5 linked regions of the Coturnix japonica genome follow. The protein of the gene in region 4 interacts with the protein of the main gene of each other region in a biochemical or structural test. Links are inferred from orthologs where the notes say so. Each region holds a gene or a part of one and is shown on either strand. Other genes may lie near its edges.

Region 1 (4,247 bases), on a different chromosome or scaffold from region 4:
TTGGGCAAGCGCCTTGAGCTCCTTGTGTCACATAGCAGGTTCTTGTAGGGTTTGAGGACAAGGACAGGGCAGGAAGGCTGACCTGTGCTACTTCTGCTACTGTGGCACTGCTGATGCTGATTTAGAAGCCTGATTTCTGTCTAAACCCCAAAAGTTATTCCTACTTAAAGGTTAGAATAATACTCCGAGCTGCCACAACTTCCTTTCAATGTCGGAAATATCAGCTCCAAGTTTTCAGGATAATGCTGGCATGAAGGAAGAAAAATTCTGAGGGAAATACTGGTTGGAGTTTCAGTATCAGAGCTGTTTGAAAAGCAAACAGCCCAGCCCAAATGGCCTTTATTTTTTTTCCCAAGTGAAATTGCCGTAGTCTCATGGTTGAAGTAAACATACACACCCCAGACATCTGGCTAAGAATTACTTACTAGAGATACATCTCTTAAGATCTTTCATATTAAAGAAGGTTGTGCTGATCCGGATTGTCAGGTTTTAGTCCAGTTGATCCAATATCATGTAAGAGAAGCACACAGTGACACTCTCATTAACAGCATTTGCAAGGAAAATGCTGGGTTCCCTGTATCTGGGAAACTACAGCAATCATACTGCACGGGCTTGCAGTAAACACGTGGCTTTACAACCTAAGGAATTGGGTTAAAATCTATGATTTAGTTATGGTTAGAAATAATTCCAGGTTTTTTTTGCAGTGTTGTATTTCAGTGGGTGTTTTTGTCTTGTCTTTCTCTCCAGTGCATCCACCGAGACCTTGCCGCAAGAAATGTTTTGGTTACTGAAAATAATGTCATGAAAATAGCAGACTTCGGTTTAGCCAGAGACATCAACAATATAGATTATTATAAAAAGACTACTAATGTAAGTGGATGATTTGCTTATCTCTGGGAACAAGTGTTTCTTTCAATGTTTCACTTCAAAACTATGGTTATAATCTTAATGGGCTTCTTGTCCAGCAGACTTGCTTTTAATCAGACAGAAAACAGACATCAAGGACATATGCAATTCTTTCCCCCTCTTAGAGTGACAGTTAGTTTAAAAAGATAAACAAATAGGCTCTATTTTTTATGATTTATTATAACTGCTAGAATACAACTACCCATGTTGTACGTCCTCGACTCCAATCATTTGAAATAGGTGGAAATTTGATTCTAGCTCATTTTGAACCAGCCCTAGGATTAAGAAAAACACTGCACAAACAGTGATAGCTGTAACCATAATAAAAGTCCTGTTTGTGTAGTAGTGCCACAATACAGGGTTATGCATTTTGCCTGTGCATGGATGTGAATAACCATAGCATTAAAGCTGGTCTAAAGCTTGAGAAAATGGATTTTCAATACCTGTTGTTGTTTGGCTGTTAAACCTGTCCCAAATTAAGACGGGAACTTTGCAGAATTCTTTCAGTTCTTCAGACTCTGTTAATACGAAATAGCATTAATACGAAATATTAATTAATCACATTGCCTGGCTCATTTATAAAAATAAAGCACTGAGTGATGAATGGCATTTGAACAGTAATTATCAGAGTCCTTGTAGTTCCAAAAGGCGGAGCAGCCAGGTAGGGATTTGTTGGCGCTGGAGGGGATCTGAATCCATTTCATATCAAATTTGGTACAGCTCCTTGGCTCTAAGCAAAGCAGAGCTTTTATGCAGAGCAACAGGCAGCTGTGGCTGCAGGCTTTGGGGAAAGGAAAATGAAATTCTTGGGTTCAGTGAATGGACTTTGTGCAAGCAGACTCAATTATAAGAGGGTATTTTATTATTATTTTAATGAAAGTTTTTGAAGTAAACTGTGTGTTTATTTGAAACAAAAATCAGTGTTAAAATCTTCATTTTGGACTTTCATTTTCATTCCTCTTTCCTTCTCCTCCAAATATACAGGGACGGCTTCCAGTAAAGTGGATGGCTCCAGAAGCTCTGTTTGACAGAGTTTACACGCACCAAAGCGATGTGTAAGTGACTTTATTTGTGTAGTCTGGAAGGGCAGGAGGGGAACCTGGTTCACGTTCCTTAAAGTTTGGCATATTTCAGAATGTATTTTCCTGCTATCCTTTCCCTTTAAGCGTTTTCATTTTGTTTCACATATTAATAGATGGAACAGGACTTGCCCTTAGAAAGTGAGGATTTTATGGTAGACTGCTAACCAGTGCTCTGTTACTAATCTGCCTGGCTTCAAAGCACATGAAAGGTGGAAAATGCTAACCTCCTTCTGTCAGTGCGGAAGTTTCCCCCCTTGAACTTATTTACGGATGTGCAGCTACAAAGAGTCTATCTAATTTGCTTGGCTTTCGATGTACTCTGCACTTCCTTCAGGTTAAAAAAAAAACAACACAAAATGAAGAGAGGGAAAAGAAAGAAGAAAAAAAAGAAAAAAGAATCTTGTGAAAATTTGTGCTGTGGTTGTGTACAGTAAAACATAGCCTGGATATACCAGAAGTGCTTTCCCAGATTTTAGAGATGCTGCATCCCAGCAGTGCTTCACATACAGAAGGAAATCATTGGATCTCTGGCACTTCAGGATCTTGTAATGTGCGTGGTGTAGCTGGCTGATGCAACAGCTCCCATAATTCTGCTTCCTATTAAAGTTCCTGGGCCCATCCTCAGTGCTCGCATGCATTGAGCTCAAAGTAAATGTGTATTTTTTACTCAGTGCAGATGAAGATCTTATGCTTTTTATTTGTCCAAGAGAAGCTGTTAGCCGTAAAAGGCTGGATGCTTCCCAGCACAGGTGTAAAAGCTTATGCATGACAGCACAGAGTTAAAATAGAAAGGAGCAGGGTAGAGAAAATAAGAGGTGCCTTCTCCTTTAACTTGGATGCTCTTCTCAAGTTGTTCTCTCCTTAAGAAAAGCATTTACCGAGGCCTTTCCTGCCATCTTTATGTTATTTATGAAGGAAGCTATATACACAGGTTAAGGGTGGAGCCAACTTTTGCTTTAAAATAACATCTTGACAAAATATTTAAGTGAATGTGAAGTAAACGGCTTGGCTGGTTTAGAGCTGGAAGTCATTGTGAGCTCTCAACAAGCGCAGAGCACGGGCATTTCGGTGTTGGAACTGGGAGACGTTTTGGCCCCACGGTGCCTTTGGATAATATTATTGTAAGTTTGTGCAAACAGTTTACTAAAATACACTGCTGCAAAGCTAGCAGAACTGCAGAGCAGCTCGGGGCCAGGGCAGGCTCTGCGCTGTTGCTTACCTGGCAGAGAAGCCTGGCAGTGGGCCCATGGCTGCCAGCGGGACGTGGCGAGGCAGCTCTGGAGGTGGGGAGCAGGCAGGAAAACTGGCTGAAGTTCTCCCTCCTTCGTTTTCTTACCAAACAAATAAACAAATAACTAAATGACTCTGTTTACAGCGGGAAGGCAATTTTCCTAATGCTGTTTTATCTTTCTTTTGCAGATGGTCGTTTGGTGTGCTAATGTGGGAGATCTTCACCTTGGGAGGGTCTCCCTACCCAGGAATCCCCGTGGAGGAACTTTTTAAGCTGCTTAAAGAAGGGCACCGAATGGATAAACCTGCCAACTGCACCAATGAACTGTAAGGACCAAGGGTTGCAGACTGCACTGAAATCATAGAATATCCCGACGTGGAAAGGAGCCATCACACGGTTAATGCTACCCCAGGAGAATGTAGCATTTTCAGAATTGTTGGCTCTGAAATAGTGAATGTGTGTGCATATAGATGTGTATAGAAACACTATGGAAAGGTCTCCAGGAAATGTTTGGTGGAGGACATTTTAAACACCCTGCTGTGATCCCTTTGAAAATGGATGAGCTCATCTATCAGCAAGTCTTTGTCAGTACTTTTAGACCCTTATTTACTCAGTTTGGGTTCATGAAATGTGAAAATTCATAAATGGCACACATAGCCATACCACACACAGACTCTTATCCTGTATAAGCTACAACCAGCTGGTTTTGTACACAAAAAAAGTGCATTTGGGAGCTTTAACATTAGCACAGCACTGTCTACCAGAGATAGTGGGAGAGTGCTTTCCTTTTCTAATACTTCAATATAGCTCTTGATAGCTTTTGCTTTTATCCCCCATTTTAATTTCTTCACTTCACAAAGGCTGCAGTCTGTTACATGATAAAAGATTTAAGCACATGTAATTTAATGCTGCTGAAATGCCACGGTAGAATGCAGACTCAGGTCCACAAAGAGGAAATTCAGATGCTAGGCAAGCATGGATAGAAATAGAGATGCATCTTTTGAGGGAAGTGACAGCATTGTATGGTT
Region 2 (4,247 bases), on a different chromosome or scaffold from region 4:
CCTTTGGATAAACTAAATGGGGCGATCTTGCTGGAGGCTCTTTCCCAGCAGCTACTTGTAAAGAAATTCCAAGCTGTTAATGCCAGTCATTTGAAAAGTCAGGACTTGCTTACCTTACGAGGTGGGGTAGATTTTCCCGAATCTAGGTCCAGATCTAAATATTCTACTTGCTTATCTCCTTTAGGTTTTACCATGGGGCTGCTTCCTCCATCAAGACTGTTGCTACCAAACAGATTCTGAAATTGTAACATAGAGAACTTCAGCTGCAAACGTACATGCTAACAATCCAAATTATCAAATATGCTTATTATAACCTGTCAAAACATTGAAGGTTAAAGAACTGAGTTTTTACACCCAGTTAAACCATGCAAGTTTTGTTGATGTTATATAGATACAGTTAAATTAAACAGAAACAGAACAACGTTAAGCCTGGGACAAAATCAAAAGCCAAAGGGAATGGACGGAAGGAAACCAAAAACCACCCCCCATAATTAAGATTGTCATCAAATCAATCTGTACCTTCCACCTAATACCCCTTTCATATCATGAGGTAATAAGGGAGTTGTTTTGGTGTTACACGTCTCAAGTTTAACATTTCTTAATTACAATTTAAAAAAAACCCAAACAACAACAACAACAAAAAACTTTAAATGGCCATTATATATTTTAGAAGGTTTCAGCCTTTCAATGGTAGCAAAGCTTCAAACAAGACTTTTCAGTTTCACTCGAATCTATCATAACTAAGCTTAAAACCAAAATGCATTATTCAAGTTAACAAAACTAAAAGATTATCACTTTGGATAATTTGTGCAGGACTGCCTAAACTGAAGTTGTATTGCATATACCTACATTTCAATTAGCCCAGACTTTTACAACCTCACCTCCTCTGTCCTCTCCCAGCCTGATCCCTCCCTCTTAACAGGTGTTATAGGAACAGTACAATAGAAGGACTCTTCTCTAAAAGATAAAGAAAAAAAAGGAAGACAGAGGGCAGCAGTCAGCAAAAAATGAAGAGGAAGGCAGAAGGAAAGACAGAAGGGTAAGGCTGACAGCAACTTGAAAGAGAGAGCAGAACATCGCTGATTTTATTAAATAAAACAGGAGTGCAGTGTGTCCAAATGAAATGATTCAAAGCTGATGACAGAAAAGGATTTTAAAAGTATGGAGTTCCCACTGAGATGTAGCTGAAGCAAAAAATGAAATAAATAAATTCTGAAAAGTCTATGCATATTTTTAAAAAGGGCTTTGAGATACCTGGAAATATTCAGATTCTCTAGGAAATAAAATATTTTATTGGTTAGAGCTTAACAGGCCGGGCCTTTAAAATTCATGCTGTTATACATTATGTCTGTATCATCTAACGTATTAAGTGGTTACAATGACAAACAAACAACAGGCAAAGTTCTTGTCACCCCAATTCTTTAAATATATTTCTACATATTTAACATAAAAGCAGCATCTGTGTTAAGGTTTCCAGCATAATAATAATAATAAAAAACTCTTAGTCATTAAACATCTTTTTATCTTAAGCAAACTAAACAGGTAGAACACAGGTATAAGAAACCAAACTTAAAATACATTTAAATGAGAATGAAAGGAAATCTGTAGAACAACCCAGGAAAATGAATGGTGCAAGCAAACAGAAGGATACTGATGATAGGCTGTCTTAGCTGCAACACTAAAAACACTATCTTAGCACCCACTGTAAGAATCAGCAGAAATTCCCACTTCTAATTGCAATGCTGCAGTTTTACTGTGGGTAGAGGCAATTCCAAACCTTTGCAAAAAAGGACATTTATTGCATCTGTATAAGGGGACGTTACTGATTACTTACCAGTGCCTCTTGCACAGTACTCTGTGAGGAGCTAAGTTTTTACATCACTGGCTCCCCACAGCTGAAGCGCACTTCACCTAGGAAGCCTGCCTGTGCTGCTGTCAGGTCTGACAGACATTGATCTAAGCATGAGCCAGGACCTCCTGCAGGCTCGTGAGCTTGCACTGAGTCGCAAGTGCCAAAGAGAAATCAGCAGGTGGGGCTCACTCAGGGGGGTCGTAAAAGGTGGTATCCACAGGCAGCTACAGAGCACAAGGGGAAAGAGACTGGAGGAGACCAGGGAGGGTATCTGGGACAGCAGGGAATAGGGTAGCAAGCAGCACTGTGAAGAGCCAAGGGTTAAGTGAAATGGGATAGCACATGCCATAGAAGGCAGCAGAGTAATAAAAAGAACAAAAACAGAGGTAAGCAGATTCTGCCTCAAAGAACCATAGCTTGATACAACTTTAAAGACGAAAAACATATTCCCTAATAAGAAGTCGAAGCAGCAGAAAGATGGTCATCACACTAAAACTACTCTGACCCAAAAACCGAGGTAGCGGTGCAGGTTTTCCCCCAGAGCTTCAAGGATTGAATGGATTAGGTTTCATTTTAGGCCTAGGTTTACTGCTAACCTTTCACTTAACTTTTTTTTTTTTTTTTTTTTTTTTTCCCCCTTGTACTCTCTCCTGAAGAAAACTAGAACAGAAAACCACAGCATATCAGTAACTTCTCTTACCTAGCTCTTCAGTGAATGCTAAATATTTGAGATACCTCCATCCAAAAAGTTCTCCCCAAAAGGGGAAAAATAAGCAACGTATCAAACTTCCCCTCCCACTGCCACGGACCCTCCACATTTCTCAAATGTCTTTTTAATAAAGGTTTTAAGCCTGTCTCAGAGGACCTATGATAGCTCATTTCCCTTGATGCCCTGATATTGAACTGTCGCATGCTCTAGAACTATCTACAGAAGACAAGACAGTTTCTACAGAAGAGAAAAATAAAGTCATCTGCTGATCTATTTTGCAGTCTGAACGTATGCTAACCATATTCCCTATATATGATTATGCTCATCTCTTCCTCAATGAAATCTTATCAAAATTACAATTGCAGTAGAGGTTTTTTTTTTTCTTCTTTTTTTTTAAATTTTGATCTAGACATACAAATGAAGGTGATGTTGAATGGAAGGATTTGTGTTTGCATGATTTAAAAGTAAGGACTGCACAGGAAGAGAGTAGTTAAGATGTAGATTTTACATACTGGGTCTTCAGTGGACTGATTTGGATTCATGGATACATAATTCTCTTCACTGTCGTGCGAGTCACTGCTGGAAGTTGTGCTATGAACTGAATCCGGTCTGGGAGACATGGGAAACCTGGAGGAGCTAATTACCAGGAATTATTTTACAAACAATACATCTTGAATATCTTAAACCTCCTGGTAAACAATAAAAATAAGCACGTTAGAGCTGAAATTGTCATTCAAGACTACTAGAGTGCCTCATTGTTTGGTTACACAGTCCTTCACATACATTATTAAAAAATAAGAATTAACATTGACATACTTCTGTCTTAATGCATGCATACACATACACACAGTTCCAAAAGAATCTATATTACACAGGCTGAAAATACAACACAGATGTATATATACATTATTAATGCTATAGTCAACAGAAACAATCCAAATGAAGAAAAGCTAGGAAACTTACTCTCGCGCAAAGCTTCTGGTGATAGGAGATCTAACTGGGGCTTGTAATTCCTCCCATTCGGGCAGAGGTTTTATTTCTAGAGGAGCTGGTTTTGCTATATAAGAACACAAGCATAAAACATTCTTAAGCAAGCTTAAATTTAATAGCTTTTCCAATTTTTAATGTCAAAAAAATACTGTTTATTGAATGATAAGCACTAGTTAAGAAGAGACACTTCCATTCTCATAAAGCTATGATACATTAACTTATATTTTACACTTTCCAGTTAAAAAGCAACACTATTTAAAAAAGACACAATTTAAGAATTTTGCAAGATATACAGGTATGTAGTAATTCTATTTCGAAAAAAGACTGAAAATGGCATCAAGTTCTGTGGCATGACTTGCTGAACTGACAAGCACAAATAGGGTTGACTGACAGTTTCAGCCTACAGTGCAAGCACAGCCAACTCCGTATGCTTTTATTGGCTTGTGGACAATTATTATTATGCAAACTCTGAGCTGCGAAACCTAATCCATAAGGAAATCTGTGCAGTGAGGGCAAAGTATGAACAAAATCTTCAACAATGATTAAGTTTGCAAAATGGAGAGATGAGCCAATAGTTAGTTGCAATGCCAAAAGGTGTTTGGCTTGCTTCAGAGTTCAACTGAAGAGTAGAGCAGCAGCAGGCTGGTGCCACCAGTGACAGCTATCATGCCAGAAAAGTTGCCATTTTTAATTTCC
Region 3 (4,247 bases), on a different chromosome or scaffold from region 4:
AAGGAACAGGCACAGGTGGGTACAGTTTTACAAATCAGGTAGCCCATAGTCCCCTTTCTGGGTTGCATTTGGTGATATTCATTAGTACTTCTTAGAATCCTACTTCGCAATTCATTTCCTAGGCTCTGTTGGAGATATGCATTAGGAAGGTTCTGTGTAGTGTGGCAGTATTACTGGCCATAATGTTTCCAATATGAAATACCTTATTTTGGCTCCTCTGTGTCTGCCAGAGGAAGGCAGCTGCTAACTTGACCAAGTCATAGCAACTGTCTGATGGTTCAGTTGGCATGTTTTACATTACATTTGCCTCTACAGCTCGATGACTTTGAACCTGCCCTGCCAGGCATGGGGGTTGGAACTTCATGATCCTTGAGGTCCCTTCCAACCTAGGTTATTCTGTGTGTGATTCTGTGTGATGTGGTGTTCAGTTCAATTCATAAATTGGGGTACGTGGTGCCTTTTAATGTGTATTTTAGCTCTGAGATCTTCGTCTCTTCCAGTTCCCAGACTTCTGAAGAAAGCGCCATTGAAACTGGTTCCAGTAGCTCTACTTTTATCAAGAGAGAGGATGAGACCATTGAGGACATTGACATGATGGATGACATCGGGATTGACTCCTCGGATCTGGTGGAGGACAGCTTCCTGTAATCCCAGACACCTTCTAACTGCACGCAGGGAAACTTACTGTGCTGTCTACAGACTTCTGTTACACAGAGAAAACCACTTCATTGCAATGTCAAGGATGTGAAGAGAAGATGGATTTGTACAGAGAGATGCCCAGTGATGGGCAAAGGAATCAGCCTGAGAATGAAAGAGAGAGAACTGTCAAAGATGGATTTTGTTAGTGTTGCTTCTTGCAGTACTTTATGAGCATCTCAGTGTTGTTTGCCATTCCAGCTGGTGGAGGACGATGGAAAGGCCATAAACAGACCAGTTTTGTGTTCCAAGGGCATTCCTATGACTTTGATGGATAGAATTTCCACTGCAGCAATACTTCATCATTGTAATTATGTAAATAACTATCAGCTCAAGGATCTTTTGAGGTGCACATTGAATACACTCCATGGATTTTAGAAAGGATCACCCATGAATTTTGTGCACTTCTTCCCTCAATCTCAGTGTCAGCTGCTGTTGAACTATCATGTGAATTGAAGAACATGCGAAAACCACTTTTGGACCAATAATGTCTGAAACCACAAAAAACTGACCGGTACTACAAAACATGTTACTTTTTAACATTAATGCAAGGGGAATAATAATAATAATAATAATAAAAACCAGTTTATAATAGGTGTTAGAAACCTAGTAAGTCTTTATTAACCATAGAAGATAGCTGTTTTCATGATAATACTACTACTGTTTTCCGTAACACTAAGCCTATATTTTATAATTCACTGTCCTTCAGTAAGAGCAATCTCAAGAAATATTATTAAGTACAAGGAAAAAATCATGACCTGAAAATTTGATGAAACAACCTTTATCAGGCCCTATGTAGTATGATAATTGCTCTGACTAGCTAAAACTTATGCAATATGGAGAAGTTGCATCCTGTAATATGCTAAGATTTAGTTTTCTATTTTGAATTGAGCAGCTTTTCTAATCAGCTGTACTAGAAGCAATTATTGTCCTCCAGTTAAAAGAACGTATAAGCATTCAAAAAAAATTTTTTTTAATTTGAATTTATGCCAGATTTCCCAAATTTTGGAGAGTGAAAGATCATGATAAACCAACAGCAACATCCCATTGTTAGTGTTTCATAGTTTCTCAAAAGAAATCTTATTCCAGGATTAGGTATGAAAAATCAATTTTATTTTTGAACGGCTCAAGGAAAAAAGACACCTCTCCCAGACTTGAACTCCAGATGATAAAAGCAGAAATAGTTCTGCAACAAATATCCTTGTCTTAATTTTGAAGTTTAAAGAGAAGCAGAAAACTTACTATTATCTTTGCAGACTCTAACTACAAATAGTAATTGCCTTCAGGTGTGATTTCTGGATGAAGGTGCATGAGAACAAACCTGCTCTCAGCCTGCAATAGTTATTTTTTGACACCACTTACAAGAGCAAAGTATTATGATTACTGCTATCACTGTACAGTGTTATTGATATTTTATGTTTTGGAAGACTTACACGTGAAAGAAAGGTACATCACTGCAAAGGGCCCCATCCTTTCTGGTGCTCATCTTTCAAACTTAACTCTAATTCAGTGCGATGAGTGCCTCACAGGACGCGCTCAGCATCTGGCATGGTGGAACAAATGCAAATGTGGTACAAACTCATCTCTGCGTTCAAGTACTTTTCCTAGGAAGTATGAAAGATGGACCAGCAGCAATTGACAACACAAGCTACCTGGATCTAAGTAACAAACTGAGCTTTACCTTGAAATGGCCCTAAGGAAAGCTATACAACTCCCGATCACGTCATTCATGGATGGTTGTGGATTTAAGAAAAATAAATGTAATATTGTCATTTCTACAGGCAAATAATTTTGGCTCTGAGTTTCAAAAATATCACCTGGTTGTGGCCACATACAGATGTCCTGCAGATGTGGAAACGTGACCTGAAGTGAGGCACCTGCATTTTCAGCCCTGGTCATGTTCGACAATCATAACAAACCATGAGCAATGACATGTCCTCCTTTCTCTGCAATCAACAGACCAATACCAAGTGTCTTTCTGAGCTCCGCATGGGGACAACTGTGAAATATAAAGACTCTTGAAGGGATAGCCTGGACACACAAGATGATGCAAAGTCCCCCTCCAGTTATGAACTATAAATTGAGGAAACACAAATTGTCTACTGGATATCCCAGATATCTGAATGGCCATTTGGGACCGCACATGCCTTAATTTGCATGTGTAGTCATTACAACTGCATGCTCAAATTAGGCAAGCGATTTCACCTGCACTTTTGCACATGGCCCAGTGTTCTTCGGGGTTTGAAAATCAGGCCTGGCATGTTTTACTATACCAGTTACTGGAATACAAGGACATTTTCCCATGGTCTCCCCTTCCTCTCATTGATTTCATTCTGTATTGCACAACATACATTGGGGCTAGACCAAAATGGTGGATGTGAACCAGAGCCGCTCATGAGTGTTTGTATACATTAATTTTACCTGTGGCATGAGTCTAGCCAAACCCAGCTTATTTCAGGGTGGAATCCAATAAACTTGCCGATAAACTGGAATGAGAGGCAGAGGCAGAGTGGGATTTATTAGAGAGGGAGAAGTGGGAGGAGATGATTCTTTAGTTTTACAATATTTTCAGTATTACCAACATTTTAGTTTATGGCTTAATTTTTGAGAAGCCACTGGAAAAGATAGTCCCAAATCTTACTCTAAGGTAATCTTATAATGACAATCAGTGTTAGCCTATCACAGCATTTGATTTGGAATGGCCAACCAATTCCTTACAGTGTGGTCTGCAGCTTGTACAAAATGGTCCTATTACATGGTGAAGGACGTGAGATATGGTGATGTTATACATCAATATGTATATAAGTATTTTTATATAGACTTTTAGAATACTGCCAAAACATTTATGACAGCTATATCACTGCCTTTGTTTATATTTTTTTTAACTGTGATATATTCCACAGGCACGTAACTGTTGCACTTTGAATGTCCAAAAGTTATATTTTAGAATAATAAAAAAGGAAGTGTTTCCAAAATGGTGGTTGTTGTGAAATATTTGAAGAAGGGCAAACTAGCCCGAGTGATGGTAGGCACAAAATGTATTACAAAATGCCCCTGTTGATATTTTGTCTTTGAAAAATCAAATCCTGTAAATAAAGATCTCTATATTTCAATAAATGATATATAATTTAAGGATATGTGAGGGGTCTATACTCACTTATTGAAAGACTGTTATAAGGGATCAGTCTTGCTTGACTTTTTTTTCCTGCCTGAGAATTTGGGTTAGTAGAACACTCTGCAAAGCCATTGGGCAGCAAAGACAGTTCCCTGAGCCCTTCTGGTGTGCACAGTGAGGAACCGCCAATGAGAATGTAACTTAACCAGTGAATTCTGTCCGTGTGAAGCTCCTTTGACCCCAGGCTGTGGTAGGTTTAGTGCTCCAGTGACCGACATCTGAGCTCCCCACATAAGATAAAATCCTTCTGGTTTCAGCACTGGTAGATTCAGTGGTACTGGTAGGTTCAGTGCTGCCTGTCTGCACGTGCTGGGGAATGGGGTGCATGGGATGCGAAAAACAGCACTGTGTCATGTATCTCCTATATATGTTCTGC
Region 4 (4,853 bases):
TCCCATGGGACACAGAGCTCTCTGGAGGAGCAGATCTCAGCCCAAGAGCAGTGCCTGCATTCCCAGGGCTGCTGAACACCAAGGAAGGCTGTGCCCTTTCCTTCAGGGCAGCAACCACGTGCAGACCTGGCCTCCATCTGCAATCTGCCAGATAGGCAGCAGGCCGCCCTCCTGCTCTCCTGGAGCCATAGGACACCGATGGCCATCGCTGGTGGCCGCACGCTGCGCCCTGATAAGATAACGGGGCCGAGCGGGCGCTGTGCTGGCACTGATAGCAGCGACCACCCCGTGGTGCACACAGCAGTGCAAAGGGCAGCAGAGGTCAGCAGCAGGGGGGGGCTGCTCTGCTAATGGGGCACACACATTCCCAGTCCTGATGGGAATCCAGGGCTTTCTCGAGGTGTTTACCCCCTTCCTCCCCTCCTTTCTCTCTCTCCTATAAAACAAACATCTGCTCCAAATTTGCAGCTCGTGCTCTGAGCAAACTCTCCGAGTTTTCAGACTCGGTTCAAGGAAAACAGATCAATTAGGAGCCGGCCCGCAACCCCCCCAGGATGCAGAGTTATGAAGGCAGGACCTTCTTACATTAAAAAAGAATTACATAACACAGGAAGTAGGGGGGAAAAAAAAGTGCATAAAAGACAAAAGGCTCCGGGGATCAGCTGTGCTGAGCTTTGGGTGATTAACTAAAGGCACAGAAAATGATCAGAGCTCTTCCCACCGAAGCAGCCCGGCCCTCAGCGGGGTTATTAGCAAGAAGGTGATGCGCTGATAATGGGAGCTGGCTGAAAACATTGGGCGTAGAGACAAATATTGATGGAGAAATGGCTCCGTGTGTGTGTGTGTGTGTGTGTGTGTGTGTGCACAGATTGTGCTTTTTGTACACGATGTTGGGTTTGGAAAGGCACAGAGATGGAGCTCACAGCTTTCCAAGCGAGATGCTCCCCCCAGTCTGACCCAACCCCAGAGCAGCCCAACGAGGAGCAGAGATGGGCCCATGCACACAGAGGAGGTTCTTCATCCCGGCCCAGCTGGCGGTGCCGCTGCTGAGTCAGAGCTGCTGCTGCTGGGAGGGCAGGGGACCCGCTGGCAGTGAGTGCTGCCCATCACACAAGGTCACTCTTTATGTGACACAAGGCTCTACACAAGGGTCACCCAGCCAGGCCCCCCCTCCTCCTGGCACCAAGGTATCGCACTGACATCCCAACCAGGGTCACGCTAACAGTGACCTGCCTGAGCCTCTGTGTGTACTGAGCACCAGCACTGATGATGCCCAACCCAACATCCCTCCGACCCAACCTCACTGCTGCTGATGGCAGGACGTCCTGCACACAGAGCTTTGCTGCTGCACCGAACACTCACGGAGATGAAACTCTCCCACAGAGGGATGTGACCCAAGTCTGAGAGCTCTGTGTTACTTGTAGACGCTCCCTCATTTTGAAATGGGCCGAAGGATCATTAAGGTTTGAAAAGACCACTAAGATCCCCAGCCCGTCCCACCGTGCTCACTGAGGGCTCCATCCATGCTGTGCCATGAGCACAGAACGGCTGGTCCCAGCAGTAGAGTGCACCGCATGGGAGGGAACCTCAGCTTGGAGTTCAACAACCCCCGTTTTTCTTTAGCTCAAAACCTATGGATCTTTACAGTTATGCTTATTTGATCATCTCTGTCCCTGGGATGAACCCTCTGCTTTTTTCTGCCCCGCTCCTGGCTGTTGGCAGAGCAGCAGAACCCCACAACCACATCAACGGCACAGCTGAGGTTTGGGGGATGGATGGATCCCTTGGAAGGCACAGCCCCAGCCCCACAAAGACTCATGAGGGTCTGTCCGTGGGGAGGAGGGAGCCTGAAAGCTCCGTGGGGAGATGGGAGAGATGTTGTATCTCACCATCCCTATATGGGGCGGCCATTGGGAGACACAGCGCTGGAGATGGGGACTGAGAGCACAGAGCAGGACAGCAGCACCGGGAAGTTTCCCAGCTCTGGGCCTCCCCCCGCCCCTTCCCACCTCTCCCTGTGGTCTCCCACAGCTCTGACAAATCTCTGCCCCCGCAAAGCACCGTGTGCGGGAAAGAGCCGCCGCCAACCGCGTCCCACTGCAACCCTACAGCCCTGCAACCCTACAGCCCTGCAACCCTACAGCCCTGCAACCCTACAGCCCTGCAACTCTGCCGGGGGCTGCAGCGAACCCGGCGGTGCCGAACCCGGCGGTTCCCCATCCTCGGCCGCGCTCGGCCCCGGTTTACGCTCCTTCCATCCCATCCATCTGTTGCGCTCGGTCGCAGCACACAGGACGCTCGTGCAGCCCCTTTCGGCAACGAATCCCGCACGGAGCCGGGACGGATCCGAACCGAACCACACGGTGCGGAGGGGCTCGGGCTGCCCCAAGATGGGGGGGGGGGCACCGAAACCGGACACCGTCACGTGCGGCCGCGGGATGCGCACGGAGCTGCCCGGGGGATGGTCGGGGGGCGGAGGGTGCGGGGCTCCTTTTGTCTTTCTCCCCCCCAACCCCCTGTTCGCTTTTTCCCTCCCCTCCCCGCCGAGCCGGGGGTGGGTGAGTGGGGGCGGGAGGGTGCGGGGAGGTTCCCACCGCCCCCAGCCCGCAGGAAGCAGGAACACCTCGTCCTGCTTTTCCTGCCCGGTGCCGCGTTCCCAGGGCGGGGAGGCGCTGCTTGGAGCTGGGGGGTGGTCTCGGTTCTCACTCACCGGCTCCCTCGGTCTTGTCGGAGCCGCGGCTCCAGGTGACCTGCCGCGTTTCCAGCTTCACCTGGAAAGTTTTCCTCTCGGGCCGCTGCGACTTTTTGGAGTAGAAGAGGGTCATGACGGTGCCCACCTCCAGGCTGCGGCACAGATGAGCCGCCTCCGCCTCGCTGGGCGCCCCCGACCCCGCCGCCATCAGCGCCCGCCGCTTGCACCGCGCTGCAACGCGAACAAAGGGGAGCGGAGCGCCCGCAGCGCCGCCACCGCGCCCCGACCCGCGGCCGGGAGCTGCGGGAGGAGGAGGAGGAGGAGCCGAGGGGCGGAGCGCGGCCGACGGACGGCGCCTCCACGCGTGGGGCCCGAGACGTGCGGGGGAGGCGGGGAGCGGCTCGTGGGTGGGTGGGTTGGGGCCGCCGCTCAGCTCCGCTTCAGGCGGACCCACGCGTGGGTAAAGCTGTTGAGATGAAGCGCCTCGAGGTGGCTGTGGGCACGGAGGAGCAGGTGATGGCGGTGGCGGCTGCCCGGGGCTGCGGGCATAGAACCCCCCTGTCCCCCATCCCGGCCCCCCGGCCGCGCTCAGCTGGCTGCCAGATGTGAGCGGCCAAACGCGGTGTGGGGGCCGTAGGGGCAGAGGGCACGGCAGTGGGTCAGCGAGGGGCTCGTAGCTCGCAGTGTCCCCCGGTGTGTGGGGCGGCCATGGGGGTGGGTGGCTGCCGGCACCCTGCAAAGTGAGCTGCTGCCTCTGTGCTTGTGCTCCACCAGGCTCCAAAGGGACACACTGTGAGCCATCCCTCCTACGTGAGCGCCCAGGAATCGCTGTGCACCGTGGCAGGAACCAGCACTAAGAAGCCCACCCCAGTCTCCAGCGAACAGCAGCACTGGGGCTGTTGTAGCCCAGGATGGAAGCGGTGCCAATATGGTGCTTCTCCTCCTGAGCTCTCCAAAGCCCTGCAGGGTTACTGCAGCCCCCGGATCCCTCCAAGAACACAGGCTGCTTTTGCCTCTTGGCTCACCTGGTTTCAATTTGCAGCCTGTGAGGCCACAGGGGGGATGGGGCTGCAGCCAGCAGGGTTTGCAGCCTTCCCTGTGCTGCCCGCAGCGCAGCTGGGCTGGCAGAGCAGATCCAGTTCCAAGGTGTTTCACCCTTTCTGCTCCCATCAGTGTTCGCTGCCTCAGTTTCCCCCATGGGAGAGTCGTGGGCTCAGCCCCAGCACTCAGCAGTGTGGGATGGGAGGTTGGTTGGGGCAGGCTGCAAAAAGAGATTTCTCACATGCTGTGTTCTATGGATACAAACCTCAACTCAGCCCTGCTGCGTCCATCCCAGCCCTGCCATCCCCCAGTGCTCTGCGTGGCTGTTGGGGTGGCTGAGCCCCTCTCCTGGTTATGGGGCAGGGTTTAGGGTTAGGATGGGGCCCTGTGTGACAGACCACACGGACAGCAACGCTCCGTTAAGTTGTAGGAATTTATTTTAAATAACCTACAGTTGATTAAAAGGGAATTCATGATAAAAATAGAAGATACTTGTTGGAGGAAAAGGCTGCAGGAAAATGGTCTTCGCACACACACTAACGCTAACAACGCCTCTAAAACTAATGATTATAGCAAAAAATAAAATAAAATAAAACAACAAAAAAAAAAAGGGTTTCACATTAAAATTCTGCTTTGTCATTTTTTAAAAGTTTTTTTTTTTTGTCTTTTTTTTTTTGTACACAATTACAAAAAGGAAAGAAATAAAACCAAAATAAACCCCCCCCAAAAACCCTCCCCAAAAATAAAAGCCCTCAATGGTGCTGATTTGCCTTTAGGGATCGATGCTCGTTTCCCTCGAAATTTTTGACCTGTGAAACTTCTTATTTCTTTTTTTACACGATAAAATCTTTCAAGTAAAAGAGAGAGAAGGGGGGTGGGGGGGAGAGGAGGGGCTTATTGAAAATCAAAGTGGGGAGGGGAAGGAAAAAGTCTGACAAACCTAAAAGGAAATATTCCTGAAGCGTACAGAGCGCTCACAGCAAAGCGTGACGGGAACGGCGCTCCCTGCCCATTCATTGCATTGGTGCTGGGATCCCATCGCACATCACCCCCCCCCCCCCATACATCGATGTGATCTTTAAGATCAAGAAGAAGAGGAAAGAAAATGTTTTTTTTTAAA
Region 5 (4,115 bases), on a different chromosome or scaffold from region 4:
GAACCCCCATGTTGGCCGGTGTATCCGAGTATGAGCTGCCCGAGGACCCACGCTGGGAGCTGCCAAGGGACAGGTGGGGATGGGATGGAGTGGGGTAGGGTGGGATAAGATGGGATGGTGTGAGTTGAGGTGGGGTGTGATGGGATGGGATGGGATGGGATGAGGTGGGATGAGGTGGGGTGTGATGGGATGAGATGGGTTAAGGTGGAGTGTGATGGGATGGGATGGGATGAGGTGGGATGAGATGGGATGGATTTAGGTGGGCTGTGATGGGTTGAGATGGGTTGAGGTGGGGTGAGGTGGGATGGGATGGGTTGAGGTGGGATGGGATGGGTTGAGGTGGGATGGGATGGGTTGAGGTGGGATGGGATGGATGGGGCAAGGTGATGGCACTGAGGTGATGGCACTGAGTGTGGTGGCCGTCCTGCTGTCCCAGCACGGCATTATGTCTGTCTGTCTTCCCACCAGACTGATCCTGGGCAAGCCGTTGGGAGAAGGCTGCTTTGGGCAGGTGGTGCTGGCCGAGGCCATCGGCCTGGACAAGGACAAGCCAAACCGTGTCACCAAAGTGGCTGTAAAGATGCTCAAGTGTAAGAGGGGATGGGATCGGGTCTGTGTGTGTATGGTGTGGGGTTCCAGGCCAGCCTCCCTGACTGCTGCCTTTGCTGCCACAGCCGATGCCACAGAGAAGGACTTGTCTGACCTCATCTCTGAGATGGAGATGATGAAGATGATTGGCAAGCACAAGAACATCATCAACCTGCTGGGGGCCTGCACACAGGACGGTGAGCGGGCGAGGGGGGGCTCCCAGCACTGTGCCCCCCATTGGGGCAGCTGTGGGGTCCTGGCACATGACTTAACCCCACTATCCCATAGGGCCCCTCTATGTCATCGTGGAGTACGCCAGCAAAGGCAACCTGCGTGAGTACCTGCAGGCACGGCGCCCGCCAGGCATGGAGTATTGCTACAACCCCACTCGTGTCCCTGAGGAGCAGCTCTCCTTCAAGGACCTGGTATCCTGCACGTACCAGTTGGCAAGAGGCATGGAGTACCTGGCCTCCAAAAAGGTGTGAACCCCTCACTGTGGGTGTGCAGGGATGGGGATGTGGGGCATCATCTGACAGCCCCATATTCTGCACAGTGCATCCATCGAGACTTGGCAGCCAGGAATGTGCTGGTAACCGAGGACAACGTGATGAAGATCGCTGACTTCGGGCTGGCCCGTGACATCCACCACATCGATTACTACAAGAAAACAACAAATGTGAGTGGTTTGATCCTGTTGTGCCACGCAGCCCCTGGCCGCCCCCATGGGCAGTGCTGAGCTGATGGGGTTCTCTTGTCACAGGGCCGTTTGCCAGTGAAGTGGATGGCCCCGGAGGCTCTGTTTGACCGAATATACACTCATCAGAGTGATGTGTGAGTACAGGGTGCTGCTCCTGGTGTAGCTGAGCACCCGGAGCTCTCTGTGTTGCCCATGGTGGCTCATGCTGTGCCCATATGTCTGCCTGCAGTTGGTCCTTTGGTGTTCTGCTGTGGGAGATCTTCACGCTGGGTGGCTCGCCATACCCTGGTGTGCCCGTGGAGGAGCTTTTTAAGCTGCTGAAGGAGGGACACAGGATGGACAAGCCCAGCAACTGCACCAACGAGCTGTGAGTGCTGGGGGGGCAGTGGGTGATGGCCTATGGTGCCATCCATGCTGAGCTCATGCTCTGTCCTGGGTGCATGCAGGTGCAGGATGGGGAAGGCAGATGCTCAGAATTACTTTTGCAGCAGTCCCCTTAACTGCAAAACATCAGCTAAATCTATTTGTGATGACCGACATCACATCTCCCTTTGCTGTCGCTCACTCTGGGGGTGAATCTCACAGTGACCCCAGGGTTACACCCTCACCCAGCAGCCCCACATCCTTCCTTGGGGGGCTGAGCCCCACACACTGCACACTGCTGAGGGATGCTCTTGGCTCCCCCCACCCCATACAGGTACATGATGATGCGCGACTGCTGGCACGCCGTGCCCTCCCAGCGCCCCACATTCAAGCAGCTGGTGGAGGACCTGGACAGGATCGTGGCCATGACCTCCAACCAGGTAGGAGAGACCCCCACGCCCCTCTGTGCCCCACAGAGAATCCCCCCCCTTAAGCTTATCCCTTGCAGGAGTACCTGGACCTGTCGGTGCCATTGGATCAGTACTCACCCGGCTTCCCAGCCACACGCAGCTCCACCTGCTCCTCGGGGGAGGACTCGGTGTTCTCCCACGACCCACTGCCCGACGAGCCCTGCCTGCCTCGCTGCCCCCCACACAGCCACGCAGCTCTAAAGCGGCACTGAGGCTCCACACTCAGCTGTGCCCACCCGGCACCTCCGCAGGGAACTCTACCCAAAGGTTTCGTTTGCTGTTTGCCTCTTGGTTGGCTCTATTCTTTCTATTATCATCCATTTAAACCTTTCCCATGAGGTCTGTGCTTGGACATCACCACGTGGCGCTGCCCTATGGGGCCTATGCACACTGTGAGCATCCCAGTGCTGCCCAGCCCCACACATGGAGCGCCCCATGCATCAGTGCTATGCCAGAAGTCCCGTGTACATAGCTAAAATATGTATAAATATGAATATATATTTACATGTCTTTTTAAAAGGGTTGTTACCAGAGCTATACCAGTTTGGTAGGAAGGTACTAGTGGCTGGTAGATATCAGTTGCTATATATTAAAACAAAAAAAAAAAACAAAAAGAAAAAAAGAAAAAAAAAAGAAAAAAAAATCCATATATTTTGCTACATTTGCTGTTTTTATTTTTTTAAATTATGTTCCCGACCCTGTTTCAGTTTTAGATCCCTCGATAAGAATTGCTGCTGCTGCTTCAGTTTTATATGGGGTTGTATTAAACCATAATAATAACGTGTCGATGCCTTTATGGGAGCACGTGGCCACGGTGCCAATGGCCTTTCCCTCCCCCCCCCCGGGGGGGGCTGCAGTGGGGCAGGGTGCAGCCCCAGCTCCACACCCCGGGGCTGTGCCTTACCCAGACCACCCCATGGGGAGGGGGGGGCCATGGGGTCCGCTGTGTCCTTGCCTTCCCCCCCCCCTCCCCTCCTACCCCTTTCTCCGGTCCCTGGCTCTGGGATCGCGGAGTCAGGGCGCTATTACTTGAAAAGTTTATTTTGCCTTTGTATGGAGAAATATTATTTGTTGTAAACTCTTCTGTAATGAATCTGGAATTCTTGTAATTATTAAAGACTTTAACCAAGAGGTGCCTTTTGCCATCCCCATCCATTGTGCTGGGAGATGCTTGGGGTGCTGGGAAGCTGCTGCCCCTTTGCTCCAGGCTTGGGGACGGCTCCTTATAAATACACCCCATCATCCAACAACCAGAAACCCTCAACTTTCACCTCCTGTGCTACCAAAGCAGTCAGTGCACGTGGCTGTGATGCGGGGGTGCTTCCAGATGTGCTGGATGCTGCACACCAATGGCCTCGCCAAGGGCTCGGGCTTCCAGCTGGGCTCAGGCTCCAGTGATAGAGATGGGGGATAAGGATCAGGGTTAGGGTCAGGGTTATGTTAACCCTCTCCCTGCTGCTGTACCCCCAAAGGAGCTGAGCCTTGGTCTGGTGGACCCGCAGTGGTTGGGTTCGTCTCTGACCCCATACCCTAATGGTGCTGTGCCCACATCCGTGGCCATGTGCTGCTTAATGCACCACGGCTCTGGGTCGCAGCTCCGTCTCATCGGCTCTTTTAAAAGCATCTGCTTGTTGCTATTTCCATGTGTAAATTAAATCGATCAGCCGCTCTCCCCCCCAGCCCCCCTCTCCTAAATTAAGTAGGGCTTTTAATCAAGTGATTTATGTCGGATCCGCAGCCCGGGATTAAGCTCACAGCAGCCGCGGGGGGAGCGGGGGGCAGGCCATAAATCAGTGCTCTCTTTGGGAGCGGTTTGGCGGAGGGGAGCTCTGCAGCGCGTGTTTACATCATCAGAAAGTGCTGCTATCACCATCTTCTGCTCATTTCCTGGGGTGAGCAGGAGGGCAATTAAATATGATAATAAGCAGAGCGGCTCCCTCAGCACCGCAAAGCCTTGCAGGGAGATGGGGGGGGTCTTGCTGCTTGGCTAAGGGGGC

The links.
Region 1: the proteins of PLCG1 (region 4) and FGFR2 form a complex in vitro, tested with the Homo sapiens proteins (2 studies listed by BioGRID and IntAct). The link is inferred for Coturnix japonica from reciprocal best matches to the Homo sapiens genes PLCG1 and FGFR2.
Region 2: the proteins of PLCG1 (region 4) and GAB1 form a complex in vitro, tested with the Homo sapiens proteins (2 studies listed by BioGRID and IntAct, with this or other methods). The link is inferred for Coturnix japonica from reciprocal best matches to the Homo sapiens genes PLCG1 and GAB1.
Region 3: the proteins of PLCG1 (region 4) and PDGFRA form a complex in vitro, tested with the Homo sapiens proteins (2 studies listed by BioGRID, with this or other methods). The link is inferred for Coturnix japonica from reciprocal best matches to the Homo sapiens genes PLCG1 and PDGFRA.
Region 5: the proteins of PLCG1 (region 4) and FGFR1 form a complex in vitro, tested with the Homo sapiens proteins (4 studies listed by BioGRID and IntAct, with this or other methods). The link is inferred for Coturnix japonica from reciprocal best matches to the Homo sapiens genes PLCG1 and FGFR1.

What each region holds. Positions count from the first base shown.
Region 1 is NC_029521.1:27,525,981-27,530,227, reverse strand, and holds part of FGFR2 (fibroblast growth factor receptor 2), read left to right. Parts: intron 1-747; coding exon 748-870; intron 871-1,890; coding exon 1,891-1,961; intron 1,962-3,407; coding exon 3,408-3,545; intron 3,546-4,247. UniProt on the Homo sapiens protein: Tyrosine-protein kinase that acts as a cell-surface receptor for fibroblast growth factors and plays an essential role in the regulation of cell proliferation, differentiation, migration and apoptosis, and in the regulation of embryonic development.
Region 2 is NC_029519.1:26,860,216-26,864,462, reverse strand, and holds part of GAB1 (GRB2-associated-binding protein 1), read right to left. Parts: intron 3,619-4,247; coding exon 3,525-3,618; intron 3,198-3,524; coding exon 3,074-3,197; intron 958-3,073; coding exon of another isoform or gene 882-957; intron 237-881; coding exon 114-236; intron 1-113. UniProt on the Homo sapiens protein: Adapter protein that plays a role in intracellular signaling cascades triggered by activated receptor-type kinases. Plays a role in FGFR1 signaling. Probably involved in signaling by the epidermal growth factor receptor (EGFR) and the insulin receptor (INSR).
Region 3 is NC_029519.1:59,003,375-59,007,621, reverse strand, and holds the end of PDGFRA (platelet-derived growth factor receptor alpha), read left to right. Parts: coding exon 1-15; intron 16-500; coding exon 501-648; 3' UTR 649-3,833; downstream 3,834-4,247. UniProt on the Homo sapiens protein: Tyrosine-protein kinase that acts as a cell-surface receptor for PDGFA, PDGFB and PDGFC and plays an essential role in the regulation of embryonic development, cell proliferation, survival and chemotaxis.
Region 4 is NC_029535.1:4,194,659-4,199,511, reverse strand, and holds the start of PLCG1 (1-phosphatidylinositol 4,5-bisphosphate phosphodiesterase gamma-1), read right to left. Parts: upstream 2,993-4,853; 5' UTR 2,901-2,992; coding exon 2,711-2,900; intron 1-2,710. UniProt on the Homo sapiens protein: Mediates the production of the second messenger molecules diacylglycerol (DAG) and inositol 1,4,5-trisphosphate (IP3). Plays an important role in the regulation of intracellular signaling cascades.
Region 5 is NC_029537.1:3,706,755-3,710,869, reverse strand, and holds the end of FGFR1 (fibroblast growth factor receptor 1), read left to right. Parts: coding exon 1-73; intron 74-468; coding exon 469-590; intron 591-674; coding exon 675-785; intron 786-876; coding exon 877-1,067; intron 1,068-1,141; coding exon 1,142-1,264; intron 1,265-1,348; coding exon 1,349-1,419; intron 1,420-1,514; coding exon 1,515-1,652; intron 1,653-1,982; coding exon 1,983-2,088; intron 2,089-2,156; coding exon 2,157-2,330; 3' UTR 2,331-3,249; downstream 3,250-4,115. UniProt on the Homo sapiens protein: Tyrosine-protein kinase that acts as a cell-surface receptor for fibroblast growth factors and plays an essential role in the regulation of embryonic development, cell proliferation, differentiation and migration.